3 linked regions of the Arabidopsis thaliana genome follow. The protein of the gene in region 1 interacts with the protein of each later gene in a pairwise test. Each region holds a gene or a part of one and is shown on either strand. Other genes may lie near its edges.

Region 1 (3,922 bases):
TGCTCATGGTGGCTTCCTCCACAGTGACAGCTCGCCCTCTCATGAAACCATCCATGGGGACGTCTTCTCCTACCACAAGCCTTGTGTACAGGCTCAAGCTTGATGAAGATACAGGGTACTGCTGGGACTCACTGATGCAGCTCCAACACTGTTCTGGAGAGCTGATCTTGTTCTTCCTCAACGGTGAGACTTACATTGGCCCTGGGTGTTGCAGTGCTATAAGAACCATTGGACGCAAGTGTTGGCCTACTATGATTGGTGTTCTTGGTTTTACTGCTCAAGAAGGTGATATGCTCCAAGGTTACTGTGATGGCAATGACTCTGACAACAATGGTGAAGACCATGCTCTTGCCTCCTCAACACTGCCTCTCTCCGTGAATTTCAAGACTACCGTTGTTAGATCTTCTGCTTCTCCTTCTAACCCTTGAGTCTTAGTATTCATCTTTACACTCCTGCTATGTTTTCTTTTGCTAAGAGAATTTTAATCTTTATGTAACTGGTGACGAATGCTTGAAAAATAGCGTCTCTGTTATTACTTTTGAGAATAAAAGATCATCATTACTCACAACAAGGTTTTACAAATCTGGCAAACATAATCTTCTTCTTCTCAAATTCTCCAAGTTAAATCAACCGAAAAACATCGCTATCACTAAGTCCTGAATAGGTCAGGGACAGTTGAAAAACATACAAATAATTAAAAAAGAGTTCATGATCCAACTATGGCTTCACTTTTAGAGAATCCTCAATTCGTTGAATGAGTTGTTTGGCCGTCAAAGCACCCTCCTGGAAATCACAAAAAAAGAAACGTTTGTGAGTGAGATTAAGAACCTTAAAACGAAAATGAAGAAATTCAAAGGCATTGAAGTCATCATACAAAGCGATCACAAGGTTCCCCATCTTTGAATAGGATGAAAGTAGGAAGTGCCTCAATCTTGTATTTATTAGCAATACTGGGGTATTTTTCGGTATCAATCTTCACCACCTGTATCTTGTCTTTCAGGGTTTCACTCACTTCATTGAGTATTGGAACCATGAACTGGCAAGGACCACACCTGCCAAACAAACAGTACATTCTGATTCCAAATCATCTGTTTAACAAATAAACTCGATAATAAGCAAACAGACTACACTGGATCCCAACATAGACCAAGTATACTCATTCATGATGAATAATAGTCAACTAGAACTGGTTGATGACCACTCAACTAACACATGTTATCATTTGACACCAAAACAAACTCACCAGGTTGCATAATAGTCAACTAGAACTGGTTTATCAGAGTTCACAAGCAGATCCTCAAATGAGTCAAATGTCTGCTTCTTGGCTTCAATCTGAAGTATGAACAAGAATGGTTTGTCATTTAGTTCAATCTAAATCAAGAAGTAGATAAAGGCACTCACTTTAAATCAATTCCAAACTCTAGAGAAAATCAGCTATAGAAACTAAAATAAGAAAAATTTCAAAATAGGAAAGCTATCATCAGCTCTACCATCAGAAGAAAGTTTGAAGCTTGAATTCAATAATTCATAGGGTAAAATTAAGTAAGCTAGAATTGAACAAAATATAAGCTTTGGAAAAAGATGTTTAAGCAGAGAAAGGCGATTACACGTCGAGGAGTGCATCGAGTCGTTGAAGATAAAGATGGAAACTTTAAGTCTCCGGTTCGAACCCGACGAACCGGAAACTGAAATTTGACGGCCGAGATAGAACGAGAAGCGAAAGCAGAAACACCTGACGATTCTTTCGAATTCAGCGACGGAACCGTAGAAGAAGAGAGAGAAATTGACGCCATGAAAGAATCAGAAAAAAACAAACGATCTCTTGATTCGGCGTTGGCGGTTGGTTAGGTTGATGATGACAAAAAAAGTTGGACACTTGTGGAAAAAAAACTCGAATTGACCAAAAAGAGAGAACGAACTCTGAAAGAAAATGACACAAGGTACTAGAAAGACAATGATGATCCACTACGGTCAAGTACACCGTATCTTTTTTGTTATAGGCCCACAAACATGTTCTAGGCCCACATGTTATAGGCCCGTTCCCAAACACCGATCACTCTTCAATTTAACTTTTTGCTCACAATCTTCAGGCTCAATCATATGACATGACAGATCTCATTGTAAATGCAATCGCAAAGGGTTATCATTATCAACTAGTACTATAAAGATAGCTGTTACTTCCCGCCAACGCAACTGGGACAGTTAAAACCGTTGAGGGTAACAAAAGACAAAACTCACGACTCCGTTTTTGAGTTTCCTGAAGATGGAAGTTACGAATATGTTCTTGTGGGCCTCTTCAAAGAAACGATATGAAATAGCCTAATTTAAACAAAACTAGAAAAGTGTGGACTAGAGAGAGACTTTAGCAAAAACTAAAAACAGATGTATCAAAAGAAGCTCACAACTAAAAAAGATGGAGCTTGAATTAGGTCTGAAGATCACTCGGACTAAAGACGATGTTTCTTCCTCTACAGATTTTCGGGTTGCCAGAGATTCTTTTGGTCATCGTTCACTTTCTCGAGAAACCAACTCTGTTTTCTTCCTCATTCTTCATCTCAAAGGTTCTATTCCCTCTCATATTTATTCACCTTTTTTTCTTACCTAGCATAGAGATTGAGATTGAAAACCAAATGCAGGATTTAAGAAGGATGGTATCGATATCGAGATAAACAAAGAAGGGAATCTGATTAAGATCAGCGGAAGAAAACAGGTTGAAGAGATGGTTTTGGTAAAGTGGGTGGAATGGAAAAAGGAAACAGAAATAAAGGAATTCAAAAAAGTGTTTCGGATTCCAGATATTGTAATTCTTGACAAGATCAAAGCGAGGTTTAATGAAGAAGATGGGACTTTAACTGTTACAATGCCTAAGAAAGTTAAGGGAATTACCGGTCTGAAGATCGAGGAAGAGGACGAAGAAGAGGAGATGAAAGAGCCGATAGTAGAAGAGAAAACAGAGGAGAAAACAGAACCAGAAGAAGAAATCAAAGAAGAGACAAAACCTGAGGAAGAAAACGAAGAAGCAGAAGAGCCACAGAGAGAAGAGGAAGAAGAGGTTGTTGAGGAAGGAACAAGAGATCATGAGGGGAAAAAAGAAGAAGAAATCGAAGATAAACCAAGAAAGAAGAGAAGAAAAAAGTTTCGTTTACCATGTTTTGCAGGATCCACTCTGCTTATGTCTATTATTGTTTTCATTATTCAACTGATTCAATCCAGAAATAAATGAAACCACACTCCTTAGGTTTTTAAGATAGGGTTCTTGTTGGTTTTTAAGGATAGAACCCACTTTCTTATTATCTGTTCTTCTTAGCCTTGTTCTTTAAAACAATAAAAGTCAACGTGTAATACAATCAAAATACAATCAGTATCTAAACCAAAAATTAGTAGGAGCGTATCAGCTAATAAATGGAAAGTATTTGACCCGAACCGTGTATAACGGCTAGATTATCACCGAACCTAAGGTTTGTGTTTGCTCTGGACTATAACAAACCCTAAGTGAAAAGGAAAAAAGGAAACTTGAATGTCAAACAAATAAATTTATATACCTGCGTCTCGCGTCTCCTCTCAAGTTAAAAACACAATTGCTCTGCATTTTTTTCAATTCTCTTCTTCGATTTCTGTCTGCTTCGTTTGCCTCTCTGTTCTCTTCTTCTTCCTTTTTGAGATTTCATTATTCATGTGTTGTTGCATCTGCTTGTTGGATTCACCCTAATCTTTGGTGTGATTCGTTGGTCTGGCCTAAGAACGACTCATATATACAACGGCTCTCTCTGTTCACTTAAAAAGCAACGAAGAAGACGAGAGAGATCACACACACAAGCCTCACGTCTTAATTTGTTTGCCTGCGATGATAAGATCTATCATCCACCGTAGAAACAGAGACAGAGAGAGAGATAGACGATTCGAAGGACATGTTGCCGGGATT
Region 2 (4,612 bases), on another chromosome or scaffold:
AGACATGAATTGACGAAAAAGCCTGTCCACAATACACAGGTAAGGCCACGACTGAGAGACAAACTATATACTTACATTCACACACCAATAACTATAACACTCTCTGTTCAATGAGGCGAAGCAGCTCATAGAAAAAACCAAGCTTTATTCACATAATCAAGCTTTATTCATGTCGCTGATGATTAGAGCTTTACCTGTGGTCTCATGTCTCTTCATACCCTCCATTGACCCAGAGAACAGAGCTCTTGTCACACTCCCCATTGAAGAACTACAGCCAAGTCTTCCCCCGTTGGAGCAACACAGAGTCGAGGTTGGTGAAGACCTAAGCTCATCCTCTTCGTAGTTAGCGTACAGAAGTGGCGATTTTTTGTCGTGACTCATACGTTTTTTCAAAGAATGTGGTGGCGAGGAGGAAAAGGAAGATGAAGATGACGTAGAAGACCAAGAAAACGATGAGCTTGCCGTCTTCTTGCTACCGTGATTGCTCCTCCTGAGATCACTGAACATGGAGAAGGACAGAAACTTACTTAGTTTTGATCTCACCTTGCTTTGCGTCCTTGGTGTCGACAAAATCCCGGAGGAGTAGTATGAGGGCGGCGGTGTGAGAGGCAGAGGAAGAGAGGAATCGGAGCAGAGGTGGTTTTTGGGTGTTCCTGGCCTTGACTCCCATATGAATGGTATGGAGGCTCCGCCATAGTAGGAGGATCTCTCTTCATCGATTGCAAAGTCATCTTCTAGTCTTTCTGACATCTGTTTTTTATAAACTCTCGGTTTATGTTTGAGTCGGCTTTTGATGAGAATTGATGTACGAAAATTGAAACAACAAGTGCTAGTTTCGAAGCTTCTTTAGAGGTGACAAAGAGTAATATGTATTGCGAGTAAAACAAGTTTGCCGATGAAACAAAAGAATCTTCTTTGCACGGTTGTATATAATCGTGGATATTTATTCTGCTTTTTTATTTTCTTTAGGAAAAATTCATATGGATGAGCATATTACAAGTATATGGAAGATCATACATAGGGGAAAAAATTGGTTAGATAATAAATGAAAGGTGGCTATCTTACTGTATGCATTACTTAATGCGTTTTCATTAATAATAAGAGAGTCGTGAGGTGAGGATCACATTATTGGTAAACAGTTACTGTAGTAAGCATTGCTTAGAGTATTTAATATGTTACCTTTTGTGGGATTCCACTCTATAAACCTTTTTATTTGGTGTTCTTATAATTAAGGAAATAATTATTGACCAACAAATCCACACGTTTTAATATATATCAAGACTACTAACCTTGTTTGTCGTAATTTGAAACTACTGACCAAAAGTTTGGGGCATGTTCATCCAAAAGATATAATGGTTTACATTTAATGAAATGATAATTTAGATAGGATATAATAGGGAACTACTCAGAGTGTCAGACCAAACCATCTGAATACGTACCAATGTCAAGTGCTAACTGGTAACTCCCAACAATAGTAATTAGAAAAGATATATATATTTGTCGGTTCTAATTAGTTGGAAGAAACGTATGCGGAGAAATAAATAGAAACGTGAGAGATCGAAAGACGACGGTGATGAATTTGGACGGTTGAGTGAGGGAGGTCGTATAATTTAATGGTCGTTTCCAATCGTATTCGTACGTGGTCCGTTTTCTCCTACTCGGATTTTGCTTTAATGTGATGGCCACACAAATTGGTTAGAAAACTATAAGGGAAAGCTCCACCTATTTATTTCACTCATACATTTACTATACACTAATATCGCACGGGAAAATTATAACAATTTTCGGATATTCGTATTTGAACAGAAACAAACAACACATACGTAAGAATTTCCTTCACAAAAAAGCCCAATATAGACGAACTTGAACTTCGTACCAACGGCCCAATATCGCTTCCTTAATCAACGGCCCAAAATTTTCATTTATTAATTAATCAGATAACCAATCAATAGAAGCCACGTCGCCACAGCCATTAGTAGTAGCATCATCAAAGCCTGCATTCTTGTTCTTCGAGTCTCTCTCGTGAGTGACTTTCATTACCGAGAAAAACACAATCATAGAGAAGCTCTCAATCTTGTTTGCTTCTGATCAGTAACTATGATTACTGTAAATAGATCACTCTTTCATTATCTTTCCCTTTCACTTGTACAAACCAATTCGTTCTCGAGCTAACGGAAATGGCGGAGAGGCAACAGAGCCCTGCGGCGGAGACGATTCCCGGTACACCCGTAATCCGGGAAGTGAGAACCGGAACCGGGTCCGAGAATTTCAACCCGGAGAATACAAGGAGAGGATGCTTGAGAGCTGAAATCGACATTTCTCCACAGTTATATGGTGGTCGTGGGTTCTGGGTTCCCTTCAATCTTGAAGACAATTACGTGAGTTCTCTTCTAGTTTCCGATTTACAAAGTCTGTTCATTTAAAGTTTGAGCATTAATGTCACTGAAAGTTTGAAATGTATGTTCTCTAACTGTTAAGTATGCTAACAAACTGAATAACTGATAGCTGATTCGATTTGGTTACTGAGTAGATATTTTGTAATAAGTGATAGCTAATTTGATGTTTGCATTTGCGGCAATTGATTCTGGAACTAGCAAGATGTTATGTAAGATTTTTTTTTGGTATTATATAGCATGATTTGTTTTATGTTTTTTTGGTTTGTCATTCTTCAGGACTGTGTGGGAGAATTTGACATAAAGAGAATGGAAGAACAGACAGTGGAGCTTGAGAAGGATCTGATTATGAAAGAGTTAGAGACTCTGGATCTTCTTGAAGCTCTTGGATCAACCAAAAGGATTTTTGAAGATTTGAAGTGGCAGCTTCAGCAGCAAGCACTGAGATGCAAGGAGACCCCTCAACATTTGCGTTCACACTCCAAAGAGATGGTCGATGAGCACTGCCATCGTAATCCCCTGAAGTCTCCGGATCTGATGACCATGGAAATGAAGCAAGCTGGTATGAATCTTTGTAAAACCATGGATGATCTTGCGTTGATCCACTCTTATGCTGAATCTCTGAATATGAAAACGAAGGAAGAGAAAGATGTCCTTGGAGTAGCGTCTCTAGCGGAGGAACTTAACAGTTTGAAGTTTAAACCAGCAGGTCCTGATCAAGTAGAGAGATTCAATACCGAGAATTTACCAGTGAATCCACAATGTGAACAGATTAAGATGGTAGTTGAAACCTATGATACAGCTTTCCATAAACAGAGCAAAACCTGCCCGAGAACTGCAGATATGAGATTGGTTGCTGCAAGAAAAATGGAAGAGGCAGCAAGAGCAGCGGAAGCACTTGCGCTTGCTGAAATGACCATATTATCCAGCAGAAGAAACCAAGACGCTCTCTGCTTCCCTAAGACACCATGTTTTCCATTAACACTTAAAGCACAGATGAACAAAGAATTATCCACCAATGTCTCAAGAATAGAGATCTTGAGGAAGCTGGAGGAAGCTAACGAAGAAGTTAAACAAAGTAAACAAGCCTTGGAAGTTGCGTTAAACCGGGTAGAAATCGCTAGTGTGAAGCAACTTGAAGCAGAAGAGGCATTTCGGCAGTGGAACATAGAGTCATGGAAAGACCAGAAAGCTGTTGGAGCAAAACGCTCGATGAAAAGAGAAAGCTTTCCTCAGCGCTCTTTCTTGAGCCATATCAATCAGCACGAGCCACTGATCGATCTCCCTGAGCCAATGCTGAAACGTAACGTCTCAATGGGTAATGCTCTTAACCGAAAAGATGAGAAACAGTTGGTCACGCCGAGGAGAAAGTTTAGGTTCATACAAACACATCAAGCTTCCATTAGAAAAACAGAGTAAGCTAAAAAAATACCCAACCTTTGAAAACATGTTTTGCACATTTCGATTCCTGTTTTTTTTTATTCTTGGTTTGATCATTGATGGGTGTTGTTGCTTCCATCAAAAGCAAAACACAGATGATTAGAGTGAGATGTGTTGTTTTGACTCAAATGTGACAAAAAGAAAAACATTATAGTAAAAACTAAAGCTTCTAGTAATCATAATTAATTATGGGAGTTAGTGAAGGGCATTGATCATATGATTTAGGTGGTGGGCACTTTCTTAACTAATGCATTTTAAGTGTTAGATTAGCTAATTAGGTGATCCATAATCAATACCGTAGGTCCTCAACTGTTTATTTTTTAATAACGTTGGTCTTTATAATGTTTCTAGATTCTCAAAATAGAAACTGAAACATTCAGGTTGAACTACGGAGATAAAAACACATTTTACGATTTGACCAGTTTGTACTTTATACTGTATAAGTTTGGAGTGGTCAGATACAGAATGATGACGTGGTCAAGGCTTTTAAGACAATCTAGATATCTCCAATAACTTAATGCCACGTGTTTTAGTCTTCACAACAAAGATTTCGTCTGGAATCCTCGTATTGGCTTAGAGCGTGGGACCAAACGAAACCAAAAGAAGGAAAAGGAACTAAATAAATAAATAATTAAAAAATAAAGTTGAAAAGTAAGAGTGGCGTGGGTTAGCAAAATCATTGTCTCAGGCTAAAATGTGCCACTCCCAACACGTGGGCTACTCTTTTCCAAGTGTCAACTATCTGACGGTACGTTTGCACTTTTTTAAATTAGGTTGCT
Region 3 (5,390 bases), about 29 Mb from region 1:
TCACTTATCAGGAGCAAAGATAGAGACTTGTTCTCTCTCTCTTTTTTCAACTAAAGACAGAGACCTCGCACTTAGATTTAATGGTTGAAACTTGTAACTAAAACTACTTGTGAGTATATAAATTAGTATCTAGTTTATGCTTTACACATCTAATTAGACGAAAAAATATATTTTGTCTTCTGATAACCGTGGTAATTTTCATGCTAATTTTGTTTTAAACGTTCTATCTAGAGAAAAAAAAAAAATCGTTCTATCTAGACGGTAGAATTAGTTCTCGGTGATTTAAAACATAAACTAATCTTTAGACATGAATTAGTCGTTTTAGACAGACTAGATTATCGACTCTGTTTTTTTATATGGAGTAGGGTACACCACGACCACGAGGCCCATTGTGAATAAATTATTCCATGGGCTTTAAATATTTGCTACGTGGACCCATCTTACTTGAAGTTGATTTTGGATCTACCATACCAGTGTGTTTTCTTTCTTGAAAACGATTTAACAAGTACACACAGCCTGGACAGATCTATAAATATATACATTTATCTTTTGTCACAAAATCAAACAAATATTATTTTATTTCCCAACAGGCAACAGGTTATCCACAATAAAAAATGATCAATTTACATAAACCAGATCACAAGATATAAAACCATACGGTTTATCTCTTAGACAAAAAAAAAAAAAGTAAGAGAAAGAATGGAACATTGTAAGAGAACCCCCAAAAAAGAAACTAAACCCAAAAACAGAATAGCAAATAAGTTTTGGGTCAGAATATAAGCAAAGATGTGTTATATATCAATCACAAAGAATAATTTACAAATCAGAGAGGTCAAAACAAAGCTGACGAAGCTTCACGAGACTAATGATCTTGGAACCCTCATGCCAAATCCATGCTTCACCTTGTCAACCCTGATTCAATTTTCAACCATAAAATTTCAGAATCAACTAAATGATTGATGTAAAAATTTGATTACATGGAATTGTGTTGTGCTTACGTTGGAGCTAATCTGCCAAGACTCTTAAGTTCTTCACCAGAGTCTCCATCAAGAACTCTTCCTGCTATATCAATGATGTAAGAACGGTTCTTGCCTCGAGGAAGACCTCTACTTGATAGTAACTCTAGGTCTCTCTCGTGAAGCTCTCTTCCGTTTACAAACACACTCGTGTTTCCTGCACCGCAGTTATCCGGCATTGGTCGACTAAACTCCTCTATAAATGGCTGCATCAACCAACAATTGTTTCCCATTTCCTCATCAAGTACCAATCAATACAAAGAATTATGAAACAGTGTACTGGAATTCAAAGCAATATAGAAGAGATGTGAAAGTTCTTACTGGTATTATACCGAGACAAGGGTTTCCCATCACTCCCCAGAATCCAGCACGGTAATCATACCTGGTCAGAATCATAACATAAAGATGGTTTCTTGAACGACTGATCAATTCTTTTGACGTAGATTTATCAAAACGTAACCCCAAACATACCAGTATTTGCCAGCTTGAACTGGCCCAGCTTGTTTCTCAGCGCTAATAACCAGATCTTCTGGTATCAGATACCCATTCACCCAAACCTCTAGCTGCTCGTTGTTTTGGTCGTTAGAACTGATATTATTTGTGACCTCTGCGAAACTGTGCTCACTACTCTGCTTTCGGTTTCTTGGTCGTCTCCCTTCTTTGCTGGCTTTTGAGATCCTTGAATCTTCAGACTCCTCGGTGTTAGTATAGTACTCATTATAAGAAACATCTGTCTCAGTAGCTACTGATTCTGATTTCAGGGAGTCTTGTTTCGTGTATGATTCTTGCTTATAGTACCCTAACTGCGCCATTCCGTAAGTGATTGCAGCTCGGTTTACATTAGAATACTCAAAGAGCTCAAGAAGATTGGACTTTTCCGGAGGAGGAGGAGGAGGAACCTTCGCGCCTTGGGCTCTGCTGCGAACAGACTTGACGACCTGTTTCCGCGGCTCACTAGAAATGCTTGACCTGTCTTCATCGTTTGAGTGATCACTAGGCGATACAGCATGGACAATTTTCGTTTCCTGGTGTATTCTTGGTTCTTCATCATTGAGTGGATAATCATCTACCACAGGGATTGGTGAGCTTCTATCTTCAACCTCTACAGAAACCCGGTTCGTAGTTTCCCCCAGGGCAGAAGATGAGAAAACAAGCTTCTTATCAACAACTCTGAACGTGATAACCTCAGAACAAGCACCACATTGCATCTTTTGTTGCCTTTCCTGACCAAGAAGCTTCTTCTTAGGCACATATAGCAGCTCAAAGCAACTGTGACAAGCAATAAAAGGCGCACCGCCTGCTAGAGGATGGCAACGACGTGAATCAGTATCAGACACAGCTTGTTGAACATACCCACGAGCAAAAGCACCACCCATTTCAGAATCAATTTCACTAGGCCACCTCGTGTGAACACCACCATGTGGACTAAAGGGTCCAACTTTCTCACCGTGGTGCAAAGCCGGGCTAAATGGGACATCACCATACCTACTTGGCGTACCCGGAAAGAATCTAGGGTCCTGTAACTGTGACTCAAGTATATCAGAGCCAATGTCTACATACTGTCCTTGAGGATAGGGTGGACGAGGCGGCATCTGATTAGGGTAATGACTTGGTCCTTGATAAAAGTTTTGAGGTATCCTATGCACTGGGAATCCATAAGGGTCTCTATAAGCTGGAACATGAGGTTGGTTACTCGCGGTAGGATACATTCCATAAGGAAATGGCTCAGGGTATGGATTGTAATAAGAAGGAGGAGGTCCATGATGGGCATGGAAACCCATTGGTGGCTGATCAACAACAGTAGCATTATTACCTCCACCACGGAGAAGATGATCTTTAATAGAATCAAGCTTTCTCAAAAGCTCGGCTTGTTGTTTATCAGTGTACTGAATTGGGTTGTTTCTGGTGGTTGTGTTCTTAGAAGAAGAAGAATCTGAATCAGTCTCTTCCTCCTTTCTCGAGCTCTTGACGAATCTCTGAGAACCAGGTCGTGAATTCGAATCGTCTAGGCGATTTCTCATCGGGCTAGTAGCGGATTCATTGAGATCCTCCTTAAAGCCTCTGTCTTCATCACTTCTTGAGGAACCAGTATCTGCTCCATAAACGTCACCGCTTGTCCTCATCGGAAAAAAAAAACAAAAATTCTCCGACGAAGACCAGCTTCTAGGGTTTTGCTTGTTTAAACTGCAACAGAAATAATAATCCTTGAATTCAAACAAAATCCGAAATTATCAACAAATTCTCTAATCGAATCTTCTCCAATCCGCGAATAGTAACATGGTAGAGCAAATCTTAAAATTTTCCTAGAGACTAGTTCAAGAGTTTCCATGATTGCACAGCATCCAAAACGGGAAAGACAAGACAGAGAGATATAGGAAAATCAAACGCACCTCGAAGAAGAGTGATTCCGGCGTCAGTATTATGAATATTTTTTGGGCAATTTCTTCGTCTCCGGTGAGAATCAAGCTTTTAGTCTCTTTGACGCAGCCATTTTTTAATATTAAAGGAGTTTTGTGAAAATTTCAGAGGAATTTATTTAAATAATCAAAAGACTTCGAACAATAGCTCTACTTTTCTTGCTTCGTTTTCCCGGGAATCTACCAACTAGGAACAATTAGATCGACAATGGAGTTTAAGAATTTTGACATATCTAGAAACTATGAGTCTTACCAGGTCAAGTTGACCAAGAGATAACGTGACGACCAAAAATAATGCAACAAAATAAAAATAGTAGTAACTAATGAATTGGTTGGATCGATTCGAATTTAACTGCATTTGAAAGGTGAAAGTTAAAGTACCAAATTAGGTCTTTGATATATTTGTGTCTCGCTGCTCCAAAACCAACAATACCTTGAACTACACACACTATTCATCATGGCCATGGTGGGTTTAGTTTATAACGATGAATGTGTACGTATTTTATACATGTATTGTATAATATTATCTTGTCAAAATAGATGGTGTGCCATGTTCCCAGACGTGCTCATAACTTGAATTCTTTTCATCATCATCATCTTTAAAAAGTTTAGAGATGTATTTTAGTTGTTGGAATTGTATTTTATATTAGGGTGACAATGACAAATGTTATAGCTGTAAAGTATTTTTTGTACAAATCAGCTGCTTAGTTTGTTTACTCCACTTGCTTATAATGTTATATTTGACAAATCTGTTGGTATTAAAATCATAATAACGTACTTATCACCAAAAAAAAAAAAGAAATCATAGCTTCATTCATCTAAAACTAGAGTGGGGACTTTTTGGTCATATCACAATCAATGACATAATAAAAGCGTCGGAGGATGGATGTGACGGAGTCGGCGGTGGCGGAGATATTGAAATTGACGAGAGACAGAGCCAAAGCTCCGAACCACGCCATGTCTCTAGTCCCCGGCGGAATCGCTGTTCCCCTTTTTTGTTAAGGTAATTTTCAGGCAGATTAGTCAAGGTTCCTTATTTTTGATGTTTTTATCCACATTCGAAGCCCAAAATTTGATTAGTGTAATTTGATGGTGTTTGATAGATTGTAGAAATAGTGGAGCAGGCCTAGTTTACTTCACTTCAGCGTTGAGCCTCTACAGTCTAGGCACATAATTTTGCCTCATATGATTTGTTTCCTTTAAGATAATATTGTAGCTAGTAGCTACTGAATCAATCAGTCACTAGCCTGAACAATATACGAGCCTAGTAGTATCTGTAGGAAACTTTGAATAAAGAAGAATTTTATCGTTTTCGATAGATATGTAGTGGAGTGTGTGTCACCACATACGAGTTAGTATGTCTTTTGACTTGTACAGCATTTTGAACTTGCTATTATGAACCTATTCTTTTTCCCTGCAGACTAGGAAAGCTCAGAGTCAGAGGCATGTCCAGAGTTTGATCGTCGTATCCTTGGGCTTATCAATATCAGCTGACTCTCAGAGTTTGCTCTCATGCTTTGCCCACCACAAGGGCTTAGTGGCGGATGCCTTGATCGTCCTCTCGGAGTTGTCCCTGAACAGAATCCAAAGGCTAGTGACACAAAACAAAAAAATTAGTACAAGTAACCAAGTTCATATTTGTTAGGGAGCCTATATATATATATATATATTGGCTGATGATAATCTCACCTGGTTTTTGAATTGGTTTCAGGCTAGAAGCTCTTTTCAGAAGATTTGAAACCTGCTTCTTGCTCATACCAACATCATTTGAGGAGCATGACAATCTTCTTTCCTTGGCATATGACAACTGCTCATCTGATCCTGCCCCACCCTCATCCTCGCTACACGAAGCCCATTCACTTCCTGATTCCGATGGTTCCCGGAGATTATCCTTTTCACACGTTTTTGCCCGTTCCACAACCCTATATGCAAACATTTGAAAAGGAACCTGTGAAAC

What was found.
Region 2: the proteins of TY1 (region 1) and AT3G56270 interact in a two-hybrid assay, tested with the Arabidopsis thaliana proteins (one large-scale study listed by BioGRID).
Region 3: the proteins of TY1 (region 1) and AT1G01440 interact in a two-hybrid assay, tested with the Arabidopsis thaliana proteins (one large-scale study listed by BioGRID).

The regions. Positions count from the first base shown.
Region 1 is NC_003070.9:28,811,156-28,815,077, forward strand, and holds TY1 (thioredoxin Y1), read right to left. Parts: upstream 2,010-3,922; 5' UTR 1,794-2,009; coding exon 1,608-1,793; exon of another isoform or gene 1,333-1,607; coding exon 1,244-1,332; intron 1,053-1,243; coding exon 875-1,052; intron 784-874; coding exon 718-783; 3' UTR 530-717; downstream 1-529. Other genes in the region: EC1.1 (egg cell-secreted-like protein (DUF1278)), read left to right, coding at 1-428; AT1G76770 (HSP20-like chaperones superfamily protein), read left to right, coding at 2,414-2,561, 2,637-3,223. UniProt on the Arabidopsis thaliana protein: Thiol-disulfide oxidoreductase that poorly activates chloroplastic malate dehydrogenase (NADP-MDH) and fructose-1,6-bisphosphatase. Provides reducing equivalents for peroxiredoxin Q.
Region 2 is NC_003074.8:20,868,043-20,872,654, forward strand, and holds AT3G56270 (WEB family protein (DUF827)), read left to right. Parts: upstream 1-1,957; 5' UTR 1,958-2,177; coding exon 2,178-2,378; intron 2,379-2,672; coding exon 2,673-3,812; 3' UTR 3,813-4,065; downstream 4,066-4,612. Other genes in the region: AT3G56250 (uncharacterized protein), read left to right, coding at 40-114; AT3G56260 (uncharacterized protein), read right to left, coding at 157-750.
Region 3 is NC_003070.9:159,081-164,470, forward strand, and holds AT1G01440 (hypothetical protein (DUF3133)), read right to left. Parts: upstream 3,874-5,390; 5' UTR 3,407-3,873; intron 3,201-3,406; 5' UTR 3,140-3,200; coding exon 1,488-3,139; intron 1,399-1,487; coding exon 1,338-1,398; intron 1,223-1,337; coding exon 999-1,222; intron 913-998; coding exon 855-912; 3' UTR 548-854; downstream 1-547. Other genes in the region: AT1G01450 (Protein kinase superfamily protein), read right to left, coding at 5,025-5,390.